3 linked regions of the Arabidopsis thaliana genome follow. The protein of the gene in region 1 interacts with the protein of each later gene in a pairwise test. Each region holds a gene or a part of one and is shown on either strand. Other genes may lie near its edges. The genes, in order: AREB3, SNRK2.4 and AFP3.

Region 1 (7,487 bases):
TAGCTAAAGAGAGAGTTGACACCGTAGTGATCGGTGCCGGAGTCGTAGGTTTAGCGGTGGCGCGTGAGCTCAGTCTCCGCGGCAGAGAAGTTCTGATCCTCGACGCCGCATCATCGTTCGGCACCGTGACGAGTTCCCGCAACAGTGAAGTCGTCCACGCCGGAATCTATTATCCACCAAACTCTCTAAAGGTACAATCTTTCTCTTGAGGATCGAATCAGATGTGTGTTTTGGTAAGTTCAATAGTGAGTTTTGTTTGGATTTTGAGCAGGCCAAGTTTTGTGTAAGAGGGAGGGAATTGCTGTATAAATACTGCTCTGAATATGAAATCCCTCATAAGAAGATTGGTAAGCTTATCGTTGCTACGGGATCCTCTGAGATACCGAAACTAGATCTATTGATGCATCTTGGAACTCAGAATAGAGTCTCGGGTCTAAGGATGTTGGAAGGTTTTGAAGCTATGAGAATGGAGCCACAGCTTCGTTGTGTTAAAGCTTTGCTATCTCCTGAATCTGGCATTCTTGATACACATTCCTTCATGCTATCTTTAGTGGTATATATAATAAACTTTTCCCCAGCTCTCTATATAGGGTCTTCATTGTTCTGTCTTTAGGAAAAGAGTTTTGATTTCATGGTTTACAGGGATAACAACAACTTGAGACTACAGGGAGAAGCACAGAACAACCACGCAACTTTCTCGTACAACACGGTGGTTTTAAACGGTCGTGTTGAAGAAAAGAAGATGCATTTGTATGTTGCTGATACCAGATTTTCTGAATCTCGGTGTGAGGCAGAAGCACAGCTTGAGCTTATCCCTAATCTTGTTGTTAACTCTGCGGGATTAGGTGCTCAAGCTCTAGCAAAGAGACTACATGGCTTAGATCATCGATTTGTTCCTTCGTCTCACTATGCTCGTGGATGCTACTTTACACTATCGGGCATAAAGGCTCCACCTTTTAATAAACTTGTGTATCCTATACCTGAGGAAGGAGGTCTCGGTGTCCATGTCACTGTAGATTTGAACGGACTTGTTAAGTTTGGACCTGATGTAGAATGGATTGAATGCACAGATGATACATCAAGCTTCCTCAACAAGTAAATACTGCATCTGTTCTTAAATTATCCTTTCTATTTAGTCCATTTTGAAGTTACTCAAGATCTTCATGCTGTTTGTATTCAGGTTTGATTATCGTGTAAACCCACAACGATCAGAGAAATTCTACCCAGAGATCAGAAAGTACTATCCGGATCTCAAAGATGGATCATTGGAACCGGGTTATTCAGGCATCCGTCCTAAGCTTTCCGGGCCAAAACAGTCTCCTGCAGATTTTGTCATACAGGTAAGCTTTTGTTTATCAAAATGCATCAGACTACACTCACAGCATTAGGTCCTGTGGAATCTTCGGTTTTGTTATGAAACCATTTGTTATCCTCAAGAGTCTTGTGTGTTCCTGATGCAGGGAGAGGAGACTCATGGAGTTCCTGGTCTTGTTAATCTCTTTGGCATCGAATCACCTGGTTTAACTTCAAGCTTGGCTATTGCAGAACATATAGCAAACAAATTCTTGAGATGAATTTGAGTTAAAAGTTTACATTTAAGAACAAAAGTGGCCTACAAGAAGAAGGCTTTGCAGAGTTAAACAATTTTCCTTTCAGTGTGATCCATTTAGACTTTGTCTATAACTCTTTACACTTTGCAATCAAATGCTATAAGAATAATAAACACAAGTTCCTTCTGTTCAATCTCTGAATTTCAATCGGACTCATGAAAACCATTACTGCTGCTAGTCTGCTACTACAATAACTCGAGAATATTTTAAAGTTAACAGAATTGCTCCAAGTCAAGAAAGTCTACGGAATGTACAAAGAAACAAAGCTGTTTTCCTCTCTTTTTTATAAGTGAACCGACACAGAAGAGAAAAAAAGAAAAAGACAAAAAGAGTTTAGAGATCAGAAAGGAGCCGAGCTTGTCCGTCGGAGCTGCCGCTTGGGATCAGGCGGTGGTACACTTGGGAGGATTTTTTCCACCTCCTGCAAAGTAATGTAAGGATTAGCTTTGGCCACACATAAACGCAGACAAAATTGAAGAACAGAAAGTCCATGAAGACTAGAAACCAGCAAGACCAACTTGTTCCGGGTAAAGGAAAACTATGTCTCCTAAGACGTTTGGTCTAAACCTATTCCTCCTGTCTCTTGTTCGTGGTTATATTTTCTATCATATATTGTCTACTATGCGTGTGCCCTATTCTATACTTCACTACATCTTCTATCATCTATCATTCCCTTTAATATGAATCCAGAACTAATCAACGATCAGCTCTTACAAGTTTCTAGTAATCACAAATTTAATCAATGCATGTGTTGTAAAAAGGGAGAAAAACCTACAATGCATTACCTTTTGCTTCCTGAGTCTTTCGTTTTCTTCTTCTAACCGTGAAACTTTGATCTCTAGCTCATGAGTGTAAGCCTGCTCATCAATATCCAATGTTAAAACAAAAACGAGCATGACTTGACAAGAAGAATAACAACAACAAATTAGTTGTTTCTCACCTGTTTCCTAGCTCGGGAACGAGCAGCAGACTCTCTGTTCTTTATCATTCTCTTCTGCCTCCTCTCTACAGTCTTCTCTACAACTTCTCCTGAAGCTACCCTCTTCCTTCCAGGAGTTTGTGTATCTGACAAACCACCCATCAAAGAAGACTGAGACACCATTGCTTGCATATCTGAAACCGGATAGGGCATAAATGCTTGAGGCTGTGGCATTGATGGGAGCTGATGATATTGAATCCATGGGCCAACTTGAGTAATGTTTTGCCCTAAACCAGCACCTGAACCAGCACTACCACCACCAACAGGACCATCATGGTTCGAACCAGGGATAGTCTCAGTGACCACTCCTGCTTTCAACAACAGGTCTTCAAGCGTCATTTCCCCAAGTGTAGGCTGCTTATCCCTCCTCTCATGAGCACTACCTCCATTCTTATTCTGCTGAATGTCTTTCCAAACCTCATCAACAGTCTTTTTGCTGAGATCCCGAGGCAAAGTCAAACTCCCCTGGCGAGAAAGACCCTCCTGAGCAGCTGCTCCACCATTGACAGCCATAGACGATGGCTGATTAGCTTCAACAGAACAGACACTCTTCAAAAGCTCATCAAGGTTCATGCTTCCCAGAGCTTTACCAGAACTCCCCAAGTGATTTTGAACCTCATCAAGTGTTAAGCTGTAAAGAGAGCTTTGCCTATTCAAGGACTGAGATTTAGCTTGTTCAACAATACCCCTCTGAGAATCCATAGGCTTTTGTAGCGGACAAAAAACAACAAGACAGATAGATAAAAACAATTCTGAACCCACAAATCAGAAACCCTAATGCTCAATTTGATAAATAGCCACACGACGACGAATTCATCAAATCGAGCCTAAATCGGAGGCGAAAGTAACCTTTTTTCTAAGGTAGAGTGGCGAAACATGCAGAAGAGAGACGAGAAGAAGAGAACCCAGAAATCAAATCGAAGGAAATGGCAGAGAGAAATCACGGCGTTGTAGCAATCAGAAAGAGTCTTGGGAATTGCATGCAGCATCGAAGGCTATCAAATGCAGATACTAAACATGGAAATCGCAACACAAGGACAATCAAACTCTTGCGAGGTACAGACTTTTCGAAGAAGAAGAATAAATCAAAAACTTAAGCAAGAGAAAAAGCAACAATCTTTTGGAGCTTAAAAAGGACCAGATCTAAAACATGGCAAGTTTGGGTTTTTCTTTCTCAAAAGAGAAACGAAACTATGATAAGTGCAGAGACAGATTTACAAAGCAAACCTAAACTCTGTGTCTGTGTGTGTCTGAGTCTCTCTCTCTCTCTTCGTTTTGTTTTCGCGCAGGAGAGGAAAAAAGAGAAGAGAGAGAAAACCTTTTGATTGAGAAAGTGACACTCGATACTGTGGCAATGCCCCCCTCTCAAGCCTCCTGTGGAATTTTCAATGCGTTTCTTCTTTTTTTAGTTGCCCAAAAATGGTTTCTCAAACTTTCGATCAAAATAAGAAACAGAGGTTTGTTTAAACACTTAATGATTAGTGATTAACTTAAATGAAGGTGGAATCAATAAACACTACATGTGCTCGGAGACCCTTCATTCATTTAGCTTCAATGGGAATTTAGGTAGATTGATTATCAAACTTTAATCAGAAAAGGTTATACATATACATGTTTATGTTCTTTGGCTCTCAACACTAATCCTCATGCCTATGAGTTTCTCTTTAAATGGTAAGTGATTACTATAAATTAATCTGCAATCATGTTAAACCATTTTTAGGCAATAATTTACATGTATTTTTTTGCAATATTGAAATCTCAAACCTTTAATTATACTTTCTATTATCCAATCTCAGATTGGGTTTTATGAACATTGAATGTGGCTTTGAAGAATATTGCATCTTGGATTCTCTTCATCAATGAAGGACCTTTTTCCCTTTTCGAAACTTGACATAACAATTGAGAGATTGTTGACTTGAGATCAAATACACAAAACTCTACTACTTACTTCCCCCAATTCCACTTCAGCTTCATATTCTGCTTCTCTTCTTCATCATCAATGAACCCTTCTACTATGTATCATCATCATAAATAATATTCAAAGCTGCACTTTTCCAAAAAGAGATTTCACCATCAAAGCAATCATCACCAAAAAAACTTTATGCATTCACGCCTTTATAAACTCCTCTGAAACATTAAGGGAAATAATATATCACCTCGTACTCTTGTGACTTTTCTAATAATCCCTGAACCTTGTGCACAAGGACCTGAAGGTACATGCTCTCTAGACCAAAACCAACTTTTATCACTTCAAAGAGGGACTAGGACCAATAAACAAGAACATATATAGGCAAGAGATTCGCACTGAGAGATATACTTTTAACACTTTTGATTACTTACCCTTCAATTGGAAGCACGTTGTATATAGCCAAAGAAGATACTCAACACTTTGAACTTACCTTTTAGTTGCAAGCATGTTGTGGAGATCCAAAGACTTAACTGCCTGTTGTCGAGAAACTCTATTCGATAGCTTCCACTTTTCAAATATTGAGAAATTGCCTCAGAAAGATCATTCTTCAGCTGTGTCGTTGAGAAGCTTGCACCACTTCCCACCAAGTTTGACTGTTCCAAGTTGGCTGCAACTTAGTAATTTTATGACAAATAAGTTTGGAAACAAAGTTCTAATTTGAAATAGTCATTGTAAAAACTTTTGAAACTTGTCATAGAAAATCCAAAAACACAAGTGAGAGAGCTCTGCTGCATTTTAAAATTCCAAGTTTTGATCATTTCAGAACCAATTGCATTCAGATTAGTATATGTGTGCTAAAGAAATTTCATTGACAGTTAGGGGTACATAATCTGGCTGTTCAACCGCAGTCAATTACCTGCAAGAGGAATAATTGAACAAACATAAAATCAGGATAGTACATAAAGCCAGGTTAATCAAGATAACTTGGTACAAAATACACTGCAGGCAGAAAAACACATGAAATCGTAAAACAGAGAAGTCAATAAAAACTATTTAGGAAAAACTAGAGTTCGATAAGCAAAGACCCACATGGAGCGTAGTTGCGCTTTTTTAGTTTTACAAATGAAAGTCTAAGGGGGATATTCAGAAAACTGAAAAAATAGAGACATAAACACTGAAAATAGTAGTACAAAGTTTTTTTTAGGAATTTCATAAAGAGAGTTTGGGAAAAACAAGTAGATGAAAACTAAAACTCCTTAAAAGGTTTTTTATGAGTTTGGCCTTAGGAGTGACCAAAGAGTAACATTTCATAAAGACTTCATTTAGCATCAGCTCCTTATAAACTTGAGAAGAATCACCAGGCCAATATTAAAACACTGATTTCTGATATCTGCACAATGAATTTAAGAAAATAAGAGAAGTAACATGCTTTAACAACCGTTGCAAAATCCCCCAAAACTCCAATGCAAACAAAAACCATGTGGATATACACAGAAACTTCTTGTCTTCAGACATCAGTAAGTTAATATATACTGAGGAAAGACATTTCAACAATTAAACAAGGGAAATTCATTGCTCTACCTGAGTGGATGGATACATGATACATTTAGTGACCCATGTAAGGAGTACCGTATGGCCCGACACCATGTTGCCCTCTACTTGTACCGCCTTGACCAGGTTGCGGAGTCTGATAACCGCCTTGCAACCCAGGTTGTGTACCGTACCCAGGCATTGTCCCCGGTGCCATAGCTTGAGTACCGTAACCAGTTGGCATTCCAACTCCATTCCCTGGGTTTACACCAGCAGCTGTCCCCAAGGAACCCAACAAAGCCTGTCCAATTGCCGGATTAAAAGCCAAACCAGCTCCCTGAGATGCCAATAAAGCTGTCAAGGCCTGTCCAATGGCCGGGTTTATCACCTGTGCCGTTGGACCACCCATCCCAGCTGGGTTACCAGCCATGAGATGTCCATGACCTCCAGGCGGACCATAACCATTGTTATCATTCCTTTGGTAACGAGGATTGTTATAGGCGTGTGGGTTATGGTGATGCTGCTGCTGCTTGCCCGGTTTGGGACCATCGATAGCTTTCTGGCAATGCAAGATATGGCCTTCAAAAGTCTTGTGTGGCTCCTCCAAAGCCCTCTTGGCGCTTTCAGACGACTTATAAACAAAGAGACAGAAACCTTTAGGTCTCCCAGTATACTTATCAAGACCCAAAGGACCTTCTTCAATTTCTCCAAACTTTGAGAAAAACATCAGCAACTTCTGTGGATCAAGCTCTGCTCCGACATTACTAACATAAATCTTTTTCTGAGTATGCTCCGAGTTCGAATGCTGAGCAGGCGCTGAAACAGCTGCAGCAGCGATAGGAGCTCCACCAAAGACAGGTCCTTTAGAAGCCAATTGGCATGCCGTCATACGACTACCAATCTTCTTCTGAGGCTGCTTGAGTGCGTTGCGAGCACCTGAACGAGACTTGTACAGAATAAAGCCATAACCTTTAGATTTCCCTGAGATCTTATCAAACACAGCCTTGCAATCTTCGATCTCTCCGTACTGCTTAAAAGCTTCAATAAGCGTCTCTGTTTTCGTATCCCAACCAAGACCGTGCACAAAGATCTTCCGATGAACAGGGTCCTCATCAGCTACTTCCCTAATTCGATTGGCTACATCAACATGCTTCTCCGCTGCTTCCTTAAGAAGACTCAAAACTTGCTCCTTTGAAAATGGTTCCAACAGATCCTGAATTGGTTCATCGTCATCATCTTCTTGATTGCCAGATCCAGACGTCGCCGCCGCCTCTATACGATTCCCATCCGTCTGATCCTCATTCTCATCACCATCATCTTCATCGTCATCATCTTCTACTTCTTCTTCTTGCTCTTCCTCTACTTCCTCGTATTCAACTTCTTCAACGTCTCCTTGATTATCCTGATTTTTAATTACAAGCTGCTGCTCCTCCTCCGGCGTCTGCTTCAGCTTCTGCGA
Region 2 (7,442 bases), on another chromosome or scaffold:
GAAGTGAATCGATCAGTCATGAGTCTAAAGGATTAATCTTTACCCATGCGAAACGAAATCCCTAATCGACAACTAAATATTAACACTCGTAGGACGAAGAAACGCAATCGGTGTGAGAAAGAACAAAACGAAAACCCTAAAAATGACTTTGAAACGAAAGCCAGGAAATACATTTTCGATTCAGTGGAGTCTCTTGCTTCTGTAACGTTGCTTTTAACACTCCGGCGGCGAAACAATCAGGGAAGTCGGCGAGACGAAGCACAGGATAAAATGGCCACCACCGACTTGAGCTCAAGGCCGTAGAAGATTATCCGGTTTCCTAATGGCGGGATATTTTCCCTCTAATATATTCACATTTCGCATCAGAAACAAAAAAACAAAAGAAAACAATTATTTTTGAATTCCGAACATTTCAATTTGATTTTTTGTTGACATTTGTATTTTATAGATTTGCATTTTCAAAAAAATGATAAGGAACGAAAAAAAATAAAAATAAGAAATCCAAAAATCAAATACATGAATCTTTTCGGAAAATAAAATCTAATTTACAAAAATATTTATTGGAGGTCACAATGTTCATAGTACCATGCGTAGCAAAGGACTCATTCTCATCATCAACCTCTCTGTTTGTTCATCTTATACTGCAAATTTTACAAATCTCCAAAACCAGAACCAAAACCTTAGCCAAAGCATTGTAAAGGCAAACACGAGAACAGAGACTTTTCAGTTTCAACAAACCAACGACGACTTCTTTCTTACACAGACCAAAAACCAAAATATCAACTTATTCTCACTTCTCCACTTGCGTGTACTTCCTTTACAGTCTTATCGTATTCATCCTCATCGTCTTCCTCTTCTTCCACCTCCTCCTCTTCCTCCTCCACGTCTTCTGCATCTTCCTCTTTTCCATCTGCATCCCCATTTCCTCCCCAGCCAAAACCTCCGATGGATCGGGAAACAGGAGGCGGTGTTTTGGCGTCAGCCACTATCTTCATGATCTCTTCAACGGTCTGAAGGGAGAAGGTTGGGTTCTCTTTCTTGAAATATGCAGCTTGAGCTGTCTCTGTGAGTTCCCTTGGCAAATTCTTTAGGAACCATGAATGTTTCTTGATTTCTGCAATGGTGATCCTCTACGAAACAACAAGTAGCTCAATTGTTCAGAAAAATCAAAAGGCATCTTTGAAAACATTTAGTTCAGTTGATTGATGTATACCTTGAGTGAATTGGCGACAAATATACGGGAAAGGAGATTTTTACAATCCTGTGAGATATGGACGTAGTCCGGGATCTTGTACTGGACAGCCATTATTTTCTGTATAACAAGATCACACATTGACGAATAGGATGTGGCGAAAGCGAGATATGCAGATACATGGCTTCAAAAAAGAAACCTACTTGTATTGTTTTCCTGAAGTTCTTGGGGTCTTCCTGGTCTTCAAATGGGTATGCTCCAACCAGCATGACATAAAGAGTCACACCACAAGACCATACATCAGCCATCTGAAAGAAGAAAAAATGCTTCAAATCTTAGCGACTTCCACAAAGATGACTTTTTAAATTCAAAAGTAAAAATGTAAAGAGCATGACAATATCATAAATACTCATGGGTTTATGGAAGTTCATTGCATTGTGCATGATGCTTGATTACCTTGCCATCATATTCTCTTCGAGAAAGGACCTCAGGTGCAATATATGCTGGAGTTCCAACTGTTGATTTGGGCCTAGAGTGCAGCAGAGAGGACTAAAAAAAAGAGAATAACAAATCACAAAAGAGGATCTCGTCGACAAGGGGGGAACTTGGATTTTTTTTTAGTGTCAGACCTTGGAATAACCAAAATCACAGATTTTCAGACGTGGAGCAGGACTTCCATCCAAGAGCGTATTCTCGAGCTTCAGATCTCTATGGCATATTTGCTGCAACAAAATAGTCAACACATGATTAAAAAAAAACGACTTCAAACAGCCAATGGATAAGTAAATTTTGCTTAAGTCATTGTCTCTACATTACCATAGCATGGCAATAGCTAACACCTGATATAAGCTGCTGGAAGAAATATCTCGCCTGGAAAAGAGAGAAAGGATTAGAACGTAGACCCTAACTGTTTAATGCCTGATACTAAATAAAAGGAGGTTCACATGTTTTCTCTTGTTCCCTTCCTCCTAATCTTTCCAAAGACCATGCAGATTATCCTAAATACTAGTAATTTCATATTCGCAAAAGCACAGCACAATTTTTCAAATGGCAAGCTCACCTCATCCTCACTAAATCTTCCAGCACTGCATATACGCTCGAATAGTTCACCACCAGCAGCATATTCCATGGCAATGGCAAGATGGGTTGGAGTCAACACCACCTATAAAATCCATAAACCCAACAAGGAATGCAAGATGAAAGATATAAGAGATTATCAACAAACTTTTTCATAGCAAGAACACCACCCATGTCAAGCAACAAGAAATTCACTAACCTCCTTGAACCGGATTATATTCGGATGGCGAAGTGATCTGTGATTAATGATCTCTCTTGCCACATTCTCATCAATCTGTATCAAAAAAAACAAACAAAGCAAATACTCATTGTACAAATCTTTTCAGGAAAAATATTACAACTACAAGATAACTAACGTTACGTTAAACACCCAATCAGCTAACGATAAGAAATTTACAAAAAAAAATCGACTCTTCTGCTTAATAGCAATTCATTCCAATTATGCATATCTGGGTATAGGATCACCAGCTCATGGAGAGCAATGAAAACACAAAAACAGAGAGGAATATACCTTAGGACCACGCTCGATGTACTTCATGGCAACAAGTTCCTTAGAGTTTTTGACCTTCATGAGCCTGGCAACTCCAAAATTCCCAGCACCTATGTCTTTCACCAGCTCGTACTTGTCCATTCTCGCTCGACAACCCTAATTCCAAACACACAAAACAGAAAGGAAAAACCCAAACAAAAAAAAAATCTCCAAAATTCTCGTTGAAATTCAAGTCCAGTTCTAGCAGCTAAGAATTTCACGTGAAAATGAAACAAGATTAAAAAAAAAAAAAACAGTATCCCAAAATCAAGGATGCGATTCCGAGATCTCGCGATTCGCAAAGAAAGTGGGAAAAAAAAAGGGAAAGAGATGACGATGGAAGGTTAATTTGAGATTTGGATTGGAGAGATTTCAAGCCTAAGCGAAGAATCAACTTTCTTTTTCTTTTTTTTTTCTTGTTGGAATTTTTCTTTTTTCTTTTTTGGGGTGAAATTAATAGAGAAATAATGATGAGAATGAAGAAGAATCTCCCCTGCCTAAACAAACTCCCATCATGTTTTTTTTTCCATTTATTTAATTAATACGAGATTTTTTAAAAGAAAGAGGGACCCACAAGTTTCCATGCGATCCATACATGTTTGTTTCCCTTGCTGATTCGAGTGTATAACTACGTTTTTTTTTGTCACCAACGCGCTTTTTTTCTCCCTAATTCAACACTTCAACTATACACTATTTACACGACACGAGTGGTCAGCAGCAAGCAAATTCGCCTTAGATTCTTTTGGTTCTATATAGAGAGAGTCATTGTCCATAAATCACATTTTTCTCTATGAAGATTGTCACTCAAACGTAACCTTTTAATGAATTTATGTCATGATTTTCATCTACTTTTAACATTTTTCAACATATATACAAAAAAAGAAGAAGTTATGTTCCCATGTGTGAGTGTATATTTTAATTGAAATGACATAGTTCGTGCGCGTATATGAAAACATTAATAGACCTTATATGGGCCGCTAAACTAATATACACTTGTTAGAACGAAAGGCCCAATCAATTAATAGAGCAAACATTAAAAGACCTTATATGGGTTTTAAACTTAATATACGTTTCTTAGTACTACAAGCCCAATTAATTAATAGAGCAAAAAAGAAGTTGTAAGCCTTATCGTTGTTTTTGTATTACCCAAAATCTCTACAAAGTGAAAACACTGAGCTGAGGATCTCGCTCTCTCTCGATTGGTATCTCTCGCTCCGTCCTTCCTCAGATCTGATCGTCCGCCGGTTTTCACGATGCCGTCTTCCTCCTCCGCCGCCGTCCTCGTGTTCCTTCTTCTCGTTTCCCTTCTCACTCCTACGTTCGCATCCGATTCAGATCACAAGGTAAGACTCGGATCTCCAGTCGTTTTTTCTTTTCTTTTAATGCAGCTCGAAATCGAGCACTGTGTCCGTAGATCCGTGATTTGCATGGTGTTTGCGATTGAATTTTTTTTCATGGATCTGTTCGTTTACGGATTGCTAGGATCCTCGAGCTTCTATTCATTGTGATTTAGGCGTATCTTTTCGTTGCAAGTCTAGGCGTATTTTGTCTATTCATTGTGATTTAGGCTTTTCACAATCTCGATTTTAATAAGAAATTTTGATGTTGGTTTGAGATTCTCGTTGATTTCTGCACGTGGTAGCCTGTTTGATGTTCAAATACTTGGATCAACACTGAGTTGTGTTGTAATTGAGTGGCATTTAATGTATTAGCATCTTCGAGATGTAGATCTTATAGTTCCGAGGTCGGGTTGATGATTTTTTTCAATTGGTATCTAAAATGTGATACTGAAAGTGTCACACATGGCTTCTTTTGCTGATGGTCAGTTTCAGCTCAAAATTGTTATTGCCTTTTGTGATATTGGAGATCATGAGATCTAGCTTTAATGCTTTTGCTCCTCTGCCTTCTTACGCTCGCAAGTAGTGTGACATTTAAAGTCGATTCCAACTATATATTTTCTGCGTGAAAGATGATAGATAAAGGCGGGTTATGCATTATTCAAGAGCAATCTGGTAGCATTATTCAAGAGCCATTATTTCTATGGAACCATCATTTGTGTGAAGACTTTAACTCCTGATTTTTGAAATGATATTGAACGTAGCCTTTATCAGTATCTGTCTGTCTACGTTTGACATTTTGTTCTGTTCTCTCTAATGGAATTTTGGTTCTTACTCTCTCTTACTAGTTAATCCCATAAACTTTTACATTTCTGTGCTTTTCTGTCAAGTCAATTTTTTTTGCCTTCACCTTTTTCAGTATCAAGCCGAGGAGCAGGTCACCCTATGGGTAAACAAAGTTGGCCCATATAACAATCCACAAGAAACATACAACTATTACAGTCTTCCATTTTGCCGCCCATCTGGAAACAATGTTCACAAATGGGGTGGTCTTGGTGAAGTTCTAGGTGGAAATGAGCTGATTGACAGTGAGATTGCGATAAAATTCATGAGTACGTTTCAATTCTTATACAAGCTTCTTTTTCATACTAGTTAACAGTTATCGTACATTCGTACTTATTCTCTAGTTACAATACCTTTTCTGTTTTTTCCACAGAGAATGTCGAGAGAAGTGTCATCTGTCCGCTTGAACTCGATGAAGCTAAGGTCAAGCATTTTAAAGATGCCATTGAATCTAGCTACTGGTTCGAATTTTTTATGGGTATGTTTCACGTCTGTTGTACATATTACCACTGAAATTCATGAAAATAATGCTGATTTATTATCTATGATGTTGCAATTTCCTACTATGTAAAGTTTGGAAACATTTTGTATCTGCTGAGTTTTCCTTTGGTTCATTTTTACATCATGCAAATCTAAATTATTCCGATATCTAACTTCACTGCATTACCAATATCATTTACGGCATTGGATGTTGTAGGATATATAATCTTACATAACTTCTTTGGATTGCTAACCTTATTTCTCACCTTTTTCTGTGGCATCTGATTGGCGTGGACTTTCATCGGGTGGTTCTAACTTCAGATGATCTACCTTTGTGGGGTATGAACTTTGTATATTTACTTGAAACATCCAAAATTTATTATGTTCTTTGTTTGTTTTATATAGTTTTAATACTGTCTCATTGCTGTTGTAGGCTTTGTGGGTGAGCTGCATCCTGACAAAAATAGTGAAAACGGCAAGCATGTTCTTTACACACATAAGAACATTGTTGTCAAATACAACAAAGACCAGGTCGGTTGTTACCACGCCATTAAGCAATAGTATGGATATCATGTGAACTACATCTGTGATCTTATGTATCTATTTTAATAGATCATTCATGTTAATCTCACTCAAGACAACCCAAGGCCATTGGAAGCAGGGAAAAAAATGGACCTGACGTATTCTGTGCAATGGATTCCAACAAATGTCACATTTGCTCGCCGCTTTGACGTATATCTGGATTATCCGTTCTTTGAACACCAGGTAACTTTTAGCATGCTATGAATTAGTCTTGTACCCTTCTGCTACTGTCTGTGATTCCAAATGGTTCACTGGTTTATAATGTATCACACTGAATACCCCATTTCATGCTTGTTCATAAGTGCAAGCCATAATTATTCTTCCAAGAATCTACCAAAGTTCTATATTCCATCTCTTCAAGATTTCTGTTCAAGCTTTATAAGCCTTCTGAGAGTTTGTTCTTTTTGCAGATCCACTGGTTCTCCATCTTTAACTCGTTCATGATGGTTATTTTCCTCACCGGTTTGGTCTCAATGATATTGATGAGGACTCTCAGAAATGATTATGCGAAGTATGCTAGAGAAGATGATGATCTTGAGAGCTTGGTGATGTTTCCTCAACTTTTATTTGTCATTAGTTGCACAATTGTTTTTTTAGCTGTTAATACTCTCTAGCAGTCTGTCCAACACTTCTTTCTTTACTTCTAAATGCAAGGCTTCATAGCCATTTCTGACGTGAGTATTGATGGGCACAGGAACGGGATGTAAGTGAAGAATCTGGTTGGAAACTTGTGCATGGAGATGTGTTCAGGCCAGCAAGTAGTCTAGTTCTGCTCTCAGCGGTAGTTGGTACAGGTGCACAGTTGGCGTTGCTGGTTCTTCTTGTCATATTAATGGCCATCGTGGGAACTCTCTACGTTGGGTATGTATTACACTATTCTTTTCTCTTGAGACCAATTTTGTGTTGTTGTTTTCCCTACATGCGGTTGGCTTGTATATTGGATTTTGCTCACCTCTTATTCTAATTATTTCAGGAGAGGAGCAATCGTCACAACTTTCATAGTGTGCTATGCTCTGACTTCTTTTGTCTCTGGTTATGTGAGCGGTGGAATGTACTCAAGAAGCGGGGGTATGACTTACTCGACTTGGCGGACCCCTCCAGTGTTACTTTCCTCTCTAACTATTCAAGTAATTTAAATGCTGGTTTATTCAGGTAAACATTGGATCAAGTGCATGGTCCTCACGGCTTCTCTCTTCCCCTTTTTGTGCTTCGGAATTGGCTTTCTCCTAAACACAATTGCCATATTCTATGGATCTCTTGCGGCTATTCCTTTTGGGACAATGGTGGTTGTGTTTGTAATTTGGGGGTTCATTTCCTTCCCCTTAGCCCTCCTCGGAACGGTTGTTGGAAGAAATTGGAGCGGTGCTCCTAACAATCCATGCCGTGTGAAGACTATTCCACG
Region 3 (6,665 bases), 9.7 Mb from region 1:
TTTATAATGTTATATATATATAAAACCGATTTGTTATATTTAATTAGGAAATGTTTTAAAAATTATCTGATTGGATTATTAATCTTTTAGAATATAATAAATATTATAAATCCGTATTGATATAGGAGTATAATTAGTTTTCCGGTTTGGGTTTAGTGCTAAAACCCGATAAGTTCAAAACCGAAAAAACCCTCAAAAACTCGCAATTAACCCGTGACCCGGTGAACCGGTTGAACCGGCCGGGTGTGGGTTTTAATTTTTTTTTTTGATTTTGCAGTAAAATATGGGATTTTAGACTTTATTCAATTATTTTTAAAAGTTTTTTCAGTTCTTAAATTCATTCGATGTTTTAGATTTTGGTGAAGACTTTACAATACCGCCTTAAAAATGAATCGAATGGTGAGAGAGACAATTGAGATTAGTTGTTTGAATTCACGATGTTTTATTAGTTTATTTCTATCATTGGTGATCTCCTACTATATTTGTTACGGTGTTAGACATTTAGTTGGATTTAAAATTTTTAATCACTTTATTATTATTGTTTGATTATATATATATATATATATATATATATTTGGGTGTAAATAATTTTATATTTTGGTAAACATAATATAATTTTATATTTTTTAAACATGATATGATTATTTTGTTTTATATTTATAAATACTAAAAAAATATATATATATATATATTTATAAAATACTCTAAAATTTCTATTAATATTAAATTTATTAAATAAATTTTAACTAATTGACCCGTGGTCCAACCCGGTTGACCCGATGACCCGGTGACCAAGAAGGTAGTCCGGTTCATCATCCGGGTCGGGTTTCAAAACTTTACTGGAGAAAATCAACGGCTAAAAAAAAATCAATTGAATGGCTAAGATTAGAAGTTATGACCCGTTATTTTAAAATTCGGGTCAAAAGGATCCGCGTCTTTTTAAACGGGTTTTTCATGATAGAAAAATTTTAACTCAATGACAAACTTGTTATTTCTGCGAAATGCCCACCTCATTAAATGTACGTTTCAAATAATAGAGTAGATTATATTTAATGATGGGCCAAAAATAAATTTTGTTTTAGGGAAGAATTTATCTTGGGCCGGCTCTGTTGAAGGGTGTCCAAGTATTGGCAAATCTTCGTCGTTGATGTAAGAAAAACAGTTATCACCACCAACAGAAAATAGAAAACATATAAGAAACGAAGACGATCCTCTTTAAATAATTTAACCTTAGCGTGACAATCTTTAATATGTATCACACTTAAATTAGACAAGCCGGTATATTATCTCAAAGACTAAACATTGTACAAGAAAAAGGTCTAAAATTAATCTCAACGAATGAAACCATTCTTTTAAGTACAAAATCTGAAAATTGCGAGTTCGATAAATTTATGTTTATACACCTCGGAGATAATGAGGATTTGTAACATGGTTCCGATACAACAAACCCCTCAAAAGAGACCCAAAGGGTCACAAGAAGGGAGATGGATTTACAACGATGTGCTTTAAGGGATGTGCAACGTCACCACCACCAGCATGCTTAACGAATTCTGCCGGTGAGAGGAAGCTTCCATGACACACACAGACAATCCTCACCTCCTCACCTTTGCGGTACCGATACAGAAACCCATTAATCTTTTTCCCGTTCGGTCCATCGCCTGTTGTTGACACGAATGGCATGTCCTCTATAATGTTTTGGCTCGCTTCTTTGCCCAAATTCTCGGGCTGAGATTGGGCACTTGAAGGGCTTGTTTCCACGGACTTGTTCGTTGTTGCTTCAAACACAAGTAAGTATTTCAGTAAAACACTAAACAAAAGACAACAAAAACTTTGCAAAGCCTAGAAGATATACAATGTTTGCTTTCGAATATTATCGATAATCCCTTGATACATTGTGCATTTTTGAACATACTTTTTCCCTTGGAATGGAAACACAAACAATGTAGTAACTACAACGCACCAAACTTTGTTTCTTTCCACTAACAATACCTAAAATGGCCAAAAATCGAACTCTAAGACACCTAAAAGATACCTAGTGAAAGACACGAAATAAAACGAAAAGCCAAAGACTCAAAAACGCTAACAACACAACAAACCAATCACAATGCCACACAATGAATCCATCCTAAGGGAATCTAATAATCGTAAAATGATATGTTGATATCACTACATCCAAAAGAAGATTCAATGTCGTGTACCCTAATCAATAATCAAAGATCTAAACAAGCAAAACTCAATCTTGAAGATTTAAAAAAAAAAAATCATCTCTTAATCCAAATTCAACAAACTCATGAAAGATCACAAAAACTATGGTAATGTACCTTGAACAGGAGGAAGAAGAGTATCAACTTCAGACAAACCAGAGGAACCACTACCAGAAGAACCAATAGATCCTTCTTCCACAACCTTCTCTTCACCACCACAAGCTTTATGTTTCCTCTGCTTCTCTGATCTCTTTCTCTTAGCCTCAAGCCTCCTCAAACTCTGCAACTCCTTCCTCTTCCTCCACTCTTCCTCCGTCTCCACGGGTAACGAACAAGTCCTACTCAGCCCTGACCTATCGTTGACCACCAAATCAAGAACCGACGTAGACCTCATAAGCCTTGTTTTCGCAAGTGGGTCAACACCAAATCTTCCATTTAGAGATAGACCTAAGTCTAACTCAATCTCTACCTCTCCATCTTCTTCAGACAATCTCTGTTTCTTCGACATGAGCCTGCAACATAATAACTTCGGTCGGAGAATATTAATTCCGGTTAAATTAGAGATCTCTCTTTTTCTCAACTTAGATTTTAGATTAGAAATTTTAACAGATTCTTGATGATAAAGAGCAATTCAAATCCCAAGAAAACAGCAAAATATCAAATTTTGGAAGATTCCATTTCTTCGATTAATGACGACCTTCCCTTTTTATAAATTCAATAAAAAAAAGTTTAATAAAGAAATAAAAAAAAATCCCACAAAATTTCAACATTTACCGAAAAAATCTCCGACAAATCTCGAACGAACACTCAAAAAGAAATTAAGAGCCCAAAGAGAATTTAGATGGAAAAAGAGAAGAGAAAAATCAATCAAACAAAAAGCTGTTTTGTCTAATTTGCGGAAGCCAAAATACCGAAAGTACCCTTGTTTGGTGCATTAACGACACGTGGAATCATGGAAGACTCTGACCCAAGGACTTTGAGCACCCACGTGGTTTTCATCGAGAAAACAAAGACAAGATCGTACACGTGTCTTATGTTCAGTGGTTATTACGTTGTAAGGTGGGATGTTGCAGCGTCAGGTCGTCACGTGTCTTTGTTTTTGTTTTTTAATTTAAATCACATTATCTTTTTTGTGCTACCACGTGTTCCGCTTATCTTCTCTTTTTTTCTCTTGGTAATTGACACGTGGAGATTTGTTAGGTTATGTAACCTGCCTGTCGCTTTAGTAGTTTCATTTCGCTTTGGTAGGAGATTTAGTTTTCTATGATAGTAAACGCAACTTGTCGAACTTTAAATGTATTTAAATTGAAAAGTATGCAAAACGAATATTTGACATTTAAGTGTATTTTTCAATGATTTAATTGTCAACAATTAAGTGATTAGAATAAGATTTCTATTTTGTTAGTGCGATGGTTGGTTAATATTTTTATTTGTATAGAATAAACATGAGTAAAGACAATTAATTTTCTTTTTCAATGTAATGACCATGTTAGCAATACTTTGACCGTGGGTTTCAATATCTTAGATCATAGTGTTTTAACAATAAAATTTTATGAAACATTTGTAACTTGTAAAAAAATAGAGTCGTAAGGTTAAAAATACTTTTTAATAATTTTTTATAATACTAATTAGTACCACTTTTAAATTAGTCATATACCATACAAAATAAAATAAAATCGCTGACATAAATTTTTTGTATATTTTTGAAAAATAAACAAAGAAATTAAATTATACGTGTTTCTAAATTGTTACTAACTATCATAATTGCTTTTTAAAAACTATCATAAACTTAAAACTTCTGCAGTCATATTTATAAATATAAATATCTAAAAATTTTATATACGTTTATAGAAGAGTGGTTTGCGTTATAGTTTTTACAAATTAAATAAAATCATATATCAGCTTAGATAATAATTATCTTTAAAATTATTAGTTACATCAAATTTTAGTTTATGAATTTTTTTTGTTTTAAGTTTATTTTTTTAAAAAGTTATTCTTAAATTTTAATGAGGCTATTTTAGTATTTTTATATATTAAAAATTAATTGTTTAAAAAGGAAGAAAGAATAGGGTATTTTTCAAATGAAAACTCAAAAATAGGGCATTTTTCCAAATTTACTCTTTATAAAAAGTGGTTAAAGTTTAAATTTTAGAATTAATGAAATTATATGTTGTTATGAGTTTATAAAAAAGGGCATATGATTCAGATTTTACAATTAATTCTTAATTTATTTATTTTATTTGTTTGTCTAACTTTTAATTTATATTAAATTATTATATGCCATGGCATAATGATTGGTTAAAACTAAAGGAAGTGAATATAAGAGTTCATGAAATAAATAGCAAATAGAGCAAAATATTTTTGATAATTTATCCACAAGATTATTATTATTATTATTATTATTGTAAGTAAATTGTTTTATGATATGTCTTTCCAAATTGGTAACAATTATCCAAATTTAAAAGTTTCTGGTCATCATATTTATAAATGCATATATCCATTGCAGTTCAGAAAAAGAAGATATCTATACAGACAACCAAATATCTAAATATCTAAAATTTAAATTATTTGGAACTAATATCATAGGAAGTCAAATAGTTTTGGATATTTTTTTATAACAAGTTTTTATAAAGTATTAATATATCTAGTAGCAATCATATTTTCAATATTTTTTTGTCACACTCTAATTCTTTGCTAGCTTTATCCGTCTATTTGTTAATAAAATTTACATGTTTAGACAATGTCTCTTTTTCTCGGGTTAGAAATATATATTTTATAAGTGTTAGTTCAAACTTTGATTTTTTTTTATAATTTCTGGTAAATCTCTGAACCTATGGAAAGGTTCATGATTAATTCCTAGAGAGAGGGTATCCTATATCCTATATATTTGATATCTTCCGGGTTTTTAAATAGATCTTAAGTAGCATGTCTATACTTATAGTCAAAAAAATAAAAGTAAGCAATTCTACATATGGAGAGAATCGATCCCTGACTTAAACAAACAGGACCACTTCCACCAGACTAGAACCACTAGCCCACCACCTTTCGTTGGGTCGTCAGACTTTGAGTGCTTAGGCTATCGATGACCGTCCCAAAAAAAATATGGTAAATATAAAAGATCTACAGAGCTAGATATCCGCATTTTTTAGGATTTCGAATGAAGACGATGCAGTCATTCTCATATAGATTCTCTTAGAAAAATTACACTTTTATAGTTTTTTTTTTCTTTTTTCTTGGACTTTTCACTACTTATTTTTTACTTTTGTATGTTTTTTGAAAGGTCGGACTCTTCAATCATTCTCTAAATTATTCCGAGTTGAAGAAAAAGTTAAGCATCAAAATATACAAGTAATAATTCTAACTTTTTTTATATTTAAAAGTCAGTTTGAATAAAGACATTGTTTGCTAATAGCTTATAATGAAATGCCATGGAAAACTAGTAGAAAATCAATATCACATAACATTTGTATATTTGATCTGATTTAGATGTCAGAACAATAAAATCACTAATGTTGTAATGATTTTATGAACAATTTCAACCACAAAATCGTCACTAATTCGTATTTGGTTGAATTTACATCAAACTAGCGAATGATGACATCTTAGGACCAATCCATCTCTCCGTTCAAACTCATAAAAACGCAAATATTGCAACATGTATAAATGCAGATAAATAGACCAAAATAATTAAATTGAATAAATTCAATGAAAGGAAGACAAAGCATGTGAAAGATACGTATGAAAATTGACAACAACAAAAAGAAAAATAATTTACGAAAGAAGAGAATCTGCAGAGAAAGAAACACGCAAGAAATCAGACAAGAGATCAGATGGTGGACCTCACAGAGATTTAACTCTTTTTAACCCCAAACTTTATTGTTTCGGTCTATCGACGTCATTCCTGTGGGTGTTTGACACGTTGACATTGTTTCACAACAGATAAGCAAAACAATCAACCAAATTAGAAAGTGTAGAGGAAAAAAACGATTTTTTATTCAGATAAAGAAAATGAGTGTTTATAATGGGTATTGAACTAATCAATTATGATATCATTTGAATTGTAATCTTTTTGTTACGTGTAATTTAATATTTGCGTCTTAGTATTTAAACAAGTTATACCAGTTTTATATTACTAATAAATTAGTTTTTAGTTTTACTACATTAAATTTGTGTCACATTAATATTTGATTTGTTTCACTTTATTTCCTTCTTGTTGGGCTGTTTATGGTTTCTTTTAATTTCATTAAGTTGGGCTGTACCCACTAAAGTTAACCAATCTGGTAAATGAATACAAATTTGAATCAAAAGAGAAACTCAAAAGGAGTAAAGGACCCCTTTGCTATGACATGTGCTGGTACATTGATTCACTTAACATGAATCAATCAATGTGTTTAAACTTTGACGCCCAAAACATGATATCGTTGTGTAAGCTGTTTAAGTCTTTTAACATTAAAACCAATA

What was found.
Region 2: the proteins of AREB3 (region 1) and SNRK2.4 interact in a two-hybrid assay, tested with the Arabidopsis thaliana proteins (one large-scale study listed by BioGRID).
Region 3: the proteins of AREB3 (region 1) and AFP3 interact in a two-hybrid assay, tested with the Arabidopsis thaliana proteins (one large-scale study listed by BioGRID).

What each region holds. Positions count from the first base shown.
Region 1 is NC_003074.8:21,044,604-21,052,090, forward strand, and holds AREB3 (ABA-responsive element binding protein 3), read right to left. Parts: upstream 4,012-7,487; 5' UTR 3,292-4,011; coding exon 2,551-3,291; intron 2,468-2,550; coding exon 2,396-2,467; intron 2,032-2,395; coding exon 1,951-2,031; 3' UTR 1,631-1,950; downstream 1-1,630. Other genes in the region: AT3G56840 (FAD-dependent oxidoreductase family protein), read left to right, coding at 1-191, 272-553, 668-1,095, 1,181-1,340, 1,461-1,574; UBA2A (UBP1-associated protein 2A), read right to left, coding at 6,105-7,487. UniProt on the Arabidopsis thaliana protein: Binds to the embryo specification element and the ABA-responsive element (ABRE) of the Dc3 gene promoter. Could participate in abscisic acid-regulated gene expression during seed development.
Region 2 is NC_003070.9:3,655,271-3,662,712, forward strand, and holds SNRK2.4 (Protein kinase superfamily protein), read right to left. Parts: upstream 3,339-7,442; 5' UTR 2,901-3,338; coding exon 2,781-2,900; intron 2,544-2,780; coding exon 2,469-2,543; intron 2,355-2,468; coding exon 2,253-2,354; intron 2,161-2,252; coding exon 2,137-2,160; intron 2,063-2,136; coding exon 2,009-2,062; intron 1,915-2,008; coding exon 1,822-1,914; intron 1,742-1,821; coding exon 1,649-1,741; intron 1,501-1,648; coding exon 1,396-1,500; intron 1,313-1,395; coding exon 1,214-1,312; intron 1,131-1,213; coding exon 780-1,130; 3' UTR 543-779; downstream 1-542. Other genes in the region: TMN1 (transmembrane nine 1), read left to right, coding at 4,052-4,141, 5,055-5,247, 5,352-5,456, 5,780-5,797, 5,892-5,989, 6,071-6,223, 6,451-6,585, 6,735-6,901 and 2 more.
Region 3 is NC_003074.8:11,380,946-11,387,610, forward strand, and holds AFP3 (ABI five binding protein 3), read right to left. Parts: upstream 3,201-6,665; 5' UTR 2,713-3,200; coding exon 2,322-2,712; intron 1,776-2,321; coding exon 1,471-1,775; 3' UTR 1,269-1,470; downstream 1-1,268. UniProt on the Arabidopsis thaliana protein: Acts as a negative regulator of abscisic acid (ABA) response and stress responses.